2 linked regions of the Danio rerio genome follow. The protein of the gene in region 1 interacts with the protein of each later gene in a pairwise test. Links are inferred from orthologs where the notes say so. Each region holds a gene or a part of one and is shown in the gene's direction. Other genes may lie near its edges. The genes, in order: sec23b and prrc1.

Region 1 (4,622 bases):
GCAGCTGGAAGGGCATCCGCTGCGTAAAACATATGCTGGATAAGTTGGCGGTTTATTATGCTGTGGCGACCCCAGATTAATAAAGGCACTGAGCCGAAAAGAAAATGAATGAATGAATGAACAAATGAACGAATGAATGAATGAAGGAAGGAAGGAAGGAAGGAAGGAAGGAAGGAAGGAACGAACTAAAGAATGAATGAATGAATGAATGAATGAATGAATGAATGAATGAATGAATGAATGTGGGTCACATAGGTTTAGTCTTTTTCGACCCACATTTTAAATACATTTAAATGATTTGGGTAAAGAAAAAATCTACCAATCAGTTCACTTCCAAAAAAAAAAACATTCAAAACGTGCCCAAAGCGCAATGCTTCCTGGGTTTATGAATTTCATTGCAGTCGTGACACACCAACATACACTGTAAAAAATGCAGGGTTCCACACAATTCATTCGTGTTGTCCTAACACAAATCGATTAAGTTAACTTGACACTTCTAATAAAATTATGTGGATTGAACATAAAAAAAATTAAGTTGTCCCAAATGAAATCTCAAAAATTGTGTTGTTTCAGCTCATTTTAATTAAGTAGTTTAAACTAGTTGTGTATTTGGCCCAGTTCATTAATTTGGCTAAGACTTGACCCAGATATGGTCCATGTTTGGCCCTTGTCTGATAGCCAGAATTGGTCCAGTCATGCACTGTAATTCTGATTGTGTGGGCCAAATCTGGGCCAGAGAAATTTTGCTATGTGATTAAACATTCAGAGCATTGAAATATTTGTAGCAAATGACAACTTATATTGTATGACTGATGTATTGTGAAAGATGTATGGACTATTATTATAAAACTTAAAATATCTTATCTTTTTTCTAAAAACATGTTCTTAAAGGGATAGTTCTCCCAAAAATGTCAATTCTGACATTATTTATTTATTGTTCACTTGTTCACTCAAATGTTTCTACCTCTGAACACAAAAGAAAAATTTTGAAAACCTGTAACCCTTGACTTCTATAGTATTTGTTTTTGCTACTATGGAAGTCATTGGTTAACGGTTTTCAGCTTTCTTCAAAATATATTCTTTTGTGTTCAACAGAATAAAGAAACTCATGATGGTTTGGTATGGATGCATGGTTTGAAACCACTCAAAGATGAGTAAATAGTAAGTAGATTGTAATATTTGGGTGAACTATCCCTTTAAGGTAAATAAATATGTGAAAAATCCAAATTTGCATTTTACAGACAAAAATATCAGCTGGTTTAAAAATACATTTGTGATAATGTCTTCCTAGATCATTTAGAGTAAAAATATTCTGCAACATTCAATATTAAAATTAGAAAAAGGTCACATTCATACACAACAGGTGTCTTAACACTGCAATATATAAAAAAAATAAATAAAAAAAAACGAAAATGTGGTTCTGGTATCAAAACAATGCCACTAATGTGTGTGCTTCTTGCCAAGTTTGGAAGCTTTAAATAAAAAAACAGGCACATAAGACAACAGTAGTAGGCGTTATTCCTACAGGATGAATAATGTGCACCCAAGAGCTTGTGGCGCCTCCTCGGAGAGCGCAGGTGTGCTCCAGACGCCCATGATCTCATCTGCTCACCTTCAGCCCCCGGATCTCGTTCAGATGCAGCTGCAGGCTGCGGTTCACCTCCCGAATCAGATTACTGTGATCCAGAATGACGCTCATTTTATCGGCTTCACACCTCCGGAGCCGCTGCACCAGCTCCTCTTTGCTCCATTGGAGGAGCTCTTCGTCCGTGAGGTTGGCGATGTCTTCTGCTGGACTTTCCGGCGCCTTGGATCCAGGCTGTGCTTGTGGAGAATTCTCCATTAGAAGAGGCGAGCTGCTGCTGCTGCTTCTGCTGCTGTGGTACCAGATCAAATATTAATGAGGCAGGCAGGCAGTGTCAGGAGGAGTCAGGGAGACTGAGGACGCATCGTGTAGAGATGCTCGTATCCGATGCCCTTACAGTGGGAGTCGCCTCGACTTTTCCCAAAGCAGCAACAGCTGATGAGCAGAAGGAAGGCCGGCATATAGAGCGAGTCCGCCCAATTTGTTCAGCACCGGCTCCCGTGCATAGTTCTTGTAAGTTTGGAAAAGTGACGGTGTATGATCGCCGGTGAGATGTGGGTGGGTTTAGGCGGCCCGGTGCGCTCGCCCCCGTCCGCCTCTGCGCGCTCCTGCATCCTCGTGGATATGGAGGAGAGACGGCAGCATCCTCAGCCCGAGCTCCGGAGAAATGAGCGTGACTGCAGCGAATGGGTAAATTCATTCTCTCTCTCTCTCTCTCTCTCTCTCTCTCTCTCTCTCTCTCTCTCTCTCTCTCTCTCTCTCTCTCTCTCTCTATCTCCGTTTGTGTGTGTCGTGCATGTTTGTGTGCGCGAGTGGCCGAGAGGTGATGCTGTTGTTCAAGTTCCATTTAAGTTTGTATCTAGCGCCATCTATTGACTCGTTAACACAGTCTTCTACACCAGAAAAAAATGTCTAAATACTAGGTAGGCTAATATTCATTCATTCATTCATTCATTCATTCATTCATTCATTTTCTTTTCGGCTTAGTCTCTTTATATGCAGTTTAATAAACTATTCTATTTCAAAAACACAACGCTATTTACTACAAATTACTATAGTCATTATTAGAAGTTTAGTAGTATATGATACTAGCCTTCTACAAATGAAAAAAGAGGCTTAAATACTAATATATGCAGTGTAATGAACTTTTCTATGGTTCAAAAACACTATAATAGGCTATTTACTACAAATTACCATAGTCATTTATAGAAGTTTAGAAGTATGTGATACTAGCCCAGGTGTGGGCAAACTTGATCCTGGAGTGCCAGTGCCCTGCATAGTTTAGCTCCAACCCTATTCAAACAGACGTCCATAGAGTCCATAGAATTATCATAGTCATTTTTTGATGTTTAGAACCATAAGATACTAACATTCTACAAATAAAAAAAAACGCTAACTAATATAGGCAGTATAATAAACGTTTTTGGTTCAAAAACACTATAATAATCTATTTACTACCAATTACAATACAAGTTTATTAGAAGCATAGATATAAGCTCTCTACTAATGATTTACTATCATTTACTATTTCTAAAGAAAAAAACATTACTGATATATGCAGTATAATAAACTTTTCTATGGTTTAAAAGCACTATATTTACTACAAATTAGTCAATTTTTAGAAGTTAAGAAGCATGATAGCATTCTACAAATGAAAAAAGATCCTCCTAAATATTGATATATGCAGTATAATAAACTCTTCTATTGGTTAGAACACTATAGCTATTTCCTACAAATTATCATATTAGAAGCATGTGATATTCGCCTTCTGCAAATGAAAAAAAATTTTCTTAAATACTGATATATGCAGTTTAATAAACATTTATATGGTTCAAAAACACTATAGCTTTTTACTACCAATTGCCATTGTCATTTTTCAGAAGCATATGATACTAGTGTTCTACTAATGGGGAAAAAATTCTTAAATGCTAATATATACAGTATAATAAACTTTTCTATTGTTCAAAAACACTATAGTAGCTACTTACTACAAATTGCCATAGTCATTCATAGAAGCATATAACACTAGCCTATTAAACTGCTTAAATACTAATATATTTAATAAACATTTATATGGTTTAAAACACTATAGTAGGCTATTTACTACAAATTACCGTTGTCATTTTAAAAACATATGATACTAGCTATATATCTAGTGTGTGTGTGTGTGTGTGTGTGTGTGTATATATATATATATATATATATATATATATATATATGGTATAATAAACTTTCTATTATATATACAGTATAATAAACTTTTCTATGGTTTAAAAGCAATATATTGACTACAAATTACCATAGTCGTTTTTTAGAAGTTTATATATGATACTAGCCTCCTACAAAAGAAAAAAAATACTAATATATGCAGTATATTAAACTTTTCTGTTGTTCAAAAACACTATACTAGCTATTTACTATTATGATAGCATTCTACAAATGAAAAAAGAGGCTTAAATGCTTATATATGCAGATACACGTTTCTATGATTCTAATAGTAGACTATTTATTTATCATAGTAATTTTTAGATATTTAGAAGCATAAGATACTTACATTCCACAAATAACAACTGCTTAAATACTAATATATGCAGTATAATAAACTTTTCTATGGTTCAAAAACACTATGGTAATTTACTACAAATTACCATAGTCATTTTTTAGAAGTTTAGAAGCCTGATACTAGCCTTCTACAAACGAAAAAAATACTAATATAAGTTCAAAAGCACTATTTACTACAAATTACCATAGTCTTTTAAAGAACCATGTGGGTGTGTGCTAAAATTAAGGAGTTATGAATTGGTAACAAGTCTACAGCTCTCATTAGCTATATTTTGATGTGGGCTAAATCATTTTTTTCTTCTTCTTTTTCTAGATTTTAGAGTAGGATAATTACTCATTTTTGATCCTGGATGAAACCATAAATTACAAAATACAAAACAAAATGCAGCTGTACAAAGTGTATAGGCTACAATGATCTGTAAAACTTAACATTTAAAGTCATAAATTGTTTAAAAAATTGGTTTGCAGTATTTAT
Region 2 (3,831 bases), on another chromosome or scaffold:
GAAATGTGCTGAAAAAATCTTCCCTTCATTAAACAGAAATTGGGGAAAAAATAAACAGGGGTGCCAATAATTCAGGGGGGCTAATAATTCTGACTTCAACTGTACATTTGTGAACAAAAAAACATTTTAGTATGATGAAAATTGGCTTTATTTGGGAGGGCTTGCATCCATTTTGCCTCCTGGAATAAGGGGTAGGAAGTTGTAGGAAGTTATGTGACAGAAATTAAATCAATTATTTTTTTTTTCTTAAAATCTTTTATTTGGTTGTTTTCTTGCTTGACATTGAGAAATTAAACATACAACTTGTAGATAATTACTTATAAAAGGAAAAGGGCAACTATGAACTTCGGCAACTATAGTGCCGGTGCGCTTAAATAGGTTAAGTTATTTTTGATGAAATCTGAGACCTTCCTCATCCTTTATAGACTACAACAGACTTTCAGTTATTAAGTGGGAAGAAAGCAGAAATGAGTAAGCTAACCTGCATTATTTTTTAGCTGTTGAGTGAACACGGGATGTAAACTTGTTGATACATAATTGAACATTTTGAGGTTAAACGGATATACTAGATAATCACTAAAGACTGCCACTTCTAAATTATTTTAAAATATTACACTACATAAGGACATGACGGATGATTTCGGGCCCAGATCTAACCCCTTAGCTTCATTATAGGAATTAAATATCATATTATCAATCATTCATTCATTAATTCATTTTCTTGTCAGATTAATCCCTTTATTAATTCGGGGTCACCACAGCGGAATGAACCGCCAACTTATCCAGCAAGTTTTTACACAGCGGATGCCCTTCCGGCCACAACCCATCTCTGGGAAACATCCACTCACACGTTCTCACACACACTCGTACACTACGGACAATTCAGCCTACCCAATTCACCTGTACCGCATGTCTTTGCACTGTGGGGGAAACCGGAGCACCCGGAGGAAACCCAGGCGAACACAGGCAGAACATGCAAACTCCACACAGAAATGGTAACTGAGCCGAGGCTCGAACCAGCGACCTTCTTGCTGTGAGGCGACAGCACTACCTACTGCGCCACTGCTTCTCCCCATATTATCAATGCTGATGAGAAAATGTTTTTACAGGGATTGTTACTAATCCCATGATGCAGCAGCCAGTGTCTGGAGGGTTAGATGTCAGCTCACCCATTACATTTCCTGAGGATGTTGAAGATCCCAGAGTCACTCCGGACAGCAACGCACCTGGTGGATTATGGGGCTTCATCAAGGTAACTGCACACGTGTATACTTAAGGCTAGGTATACGTGTGCTTAACATGTCCTGATCCAGATGTGTTTTAATCACAGGGTGTTGCTGGAAACCCAATGGTCAAGACCGTCTTGGATAAAACCAAACACTCTGTGGAGTCCATGATCACCACGTTGGATCCTGGGATGGCACCTTATATCAGTGAGTAATGATATGTTGGTGTTTAGATTTATATTGTTGATAAAAAGAGAATTTTATTTTATTTTATTTACGAAGATGGTTTAATGACAAATTCAGTTTGATTTTATGTGAATTTTACTTAAGTTTTTATTATATGTGGGCATAGATGTATTTTTTAATCTAGATTAATCGCACTGTAATCTAGGAATTAATCCAGATTAAAATTGTTCATTTGAATTCTGACGAAGGCATTCAGATTATGTGTGCTACCCAAATATTGACTAAAAGTAAGTCTTTGAGAATGGGTTTCTCAAGCCAGGTGGCGCATTAGACCAGGGGCTCATCTCCTGTTTCCAAAATGCATCACAAACTGCTTGAGAGACTGTTCTACTATGATAATTGGTGATGAAAATAAATGATGTTCAATAAGATGTACTTGTGTTTACAAACTGTTTATTCGGTTAAACATCAATTTTGAACTGTAGGTCTACATAAGCTCGAAACCGTTATTTTTGATTACCTAAATCCGACTAAAGTCATAACTGAACCAAACAGAAATGGAACTAAGATGTGGAGTATGCATATATTAGTGGCATTATTGAAGTAAACACCACGATCAAACGATTACCGTCATGTTGGACTTTTAGCCAAATTTTCCGACAAGATCCACACACATGGCTGTCAGTAAAGGACCACACACACACACACACACACACACACACACACACACACACACACACACACACACACACACACACACACACACACACAAAGCAAAATGCGGAAGTTTTTTTTCTTTCCATTCGCCATGTGTTATTAATTTCCATAAGTCTCTCACCAGTCCTTACTCCTTATTTGCGTCTAATACCCCAGTTTGTCACGGGGGCATGAATGAAATGTTCGTGAGTGAAGGTGAAACTGCCAAACTGCAGTTAAAGTCACCCAAAATTACAGGAAACTTTTACATGAAAGCACTTCATGTAAAACCCTTAATTATATTATTGGCTATTAGGGCAAAAGACTACATTACTGATGTCTATGTAAATGTAGTAAGTAGTGTCTTCGAAGTAAGATCCAGAAGGGCATCTTGCTGATTTGATTCAGAAGTGCACTTTTTTTTTGTCAGATGGCTCACTGGTTACGTATACATCCGCGCTAAAATATCAAGGTGAAAGTCATCATACCTTGCATAGAATAGATCCAGCGCTCAACCCAACTTTGAGAATAGATTAACGGCGATATATATTTTTTCAATCGTGCAATAAGAGTCTCACGTTAACGCAGCATGTTAATGCCGATAATGGCTCCCCACTTTTTTTTATTTGATCTCAAAAATCTGTCCACCGCTATATTTGCAAAAAACAAAACAAAACTTAAAGCATTTCATTTCTATGGTTCTTCTGTTCGGAGTATGTTTACATCGCTAAGTTGAGAAATGCTGTAGGAACAGGATGTTGAAAATGCACTTCTTGTTTATATGTCATTATTTAATGGTTTGTGTTTGTAAGAATCTGGAGGAGATGTGGACATTGTTGTGACGTCAGATAAGGAAGTGAAGGTGGCAGCGGTACGGGATGCATTTCAGGAGGTGTTTGGTTTGGCCATGGTGACAGGAGAAGCCGGTCAGTCCAACATTGCCCCACAGCCAGTGGGATATGCTGCAGGGGTCAAGGTAAATATTCTTCTTTTTTAAAGGATAATTCACCCAAATCTTAAAATGTACTCACCCTAAAGTGGTCCCAAACCTTTATAGGTTTCTTTATCCTGTTAAACATGAAAAAAAGTTATTTTGAAGAAAGCCAAAATCCTGTAACCGCTTATCTCCATAGTAGGAAAAAAAATACTATAGAAGTCAATGGTTTCATGTTTCCAGCTTTCTTGGAAATGTCTTCTTTTGCTTTCAGCCAAAGAAAGAAAATCAAACAGGTTTGTGACAAAGTGATAACTGAATTTTCAGTTTTGGGAAGATTCTCCTCTTAAAGTGTCTATCAACGTCTAAATGTTTACAACTGTAGGAAACTTAGTCATGCAACTAATGATATATAAGCACATATATTAATCTGAAGTTTGCATGGGTGTCTTAGGGAGCTCAGGAGCGCATTGACAGTCTTCGCCGTGCTGCTGTTATTCATGAGAAGCAGCCTGTGGTCTCTGTGGAAAACTTCATCGCTGAACTCTTTCCAGACAAGTAAGAAAAGTCAATTTGAGACAAAACTTGAAATGCACAAATGTAAAAACATCACTTTAAACCACGGTTCCCAAACTTTCTTGAACAGACATTCTTAAAGCACCATTAGCTTTAAATCAAGCACTTTTGTAATTCGCACCCAGCATGTGTATTTCCTTAAGGTACTGACTGTTTCACTTACACATTATATTTGTTACAAATGTCATTTTCAAAAATGTTCAAAGAACTTTA

What was found.
Region 2: the proteins of sec23b (region 1) and prrc1 interact in binary tests that used the Homo sapiens proteins (3 or more experiments, as listed by UniProt). The two-hybrid records come from large-scale screens. The link is inferred for Danio rerio from reciprocal best matches to the Homo sapiens genes SEC23B and PRRC1.

Annotation. Positions count from the first base shown.
Region 1 is NC_133181.1:7,710,423-7,715,044, forward strand, and holds the start of sec23b (protein transport protein Sec23B), read left to right. Parts: upstream 1-1,523; 5' UTR 1,524-1,612; coding exon of another isoform or gene 1,613-1,843; 5' UTR 1,844-2,271; coding exon 2,272-2,275; intron 2,276-4,622. Other genes in the region: ccdc85al (coiled-coil domain containing 85A, like), read right to left, coding at 1,613-1,843. UniProt on the Homo sapiens protein: Component of the coat protein complex II (COPII) which promotes the formation of transport vesicles from the endoplasmic reticulum (ER).
Region 2 is NC_133185.1:18,457,195-18,461,025, forward strand, and holds part of prrc1 (protein PRRC1), read left to right. Parts: intron 1-1,109; coding exon 1,110-1,252; intron 1,253-1,330; coding exon 1,331-1,433; intron 1,434-2,920; coding exon 2,921-3,084; intron 3,085-3,496; coding exon 3,497-3,600; intron 3,601-3,831. UniProt on the Homo sapiens protein: May act as a regulator of the protein kinase A (PKA) activity during embryonic development.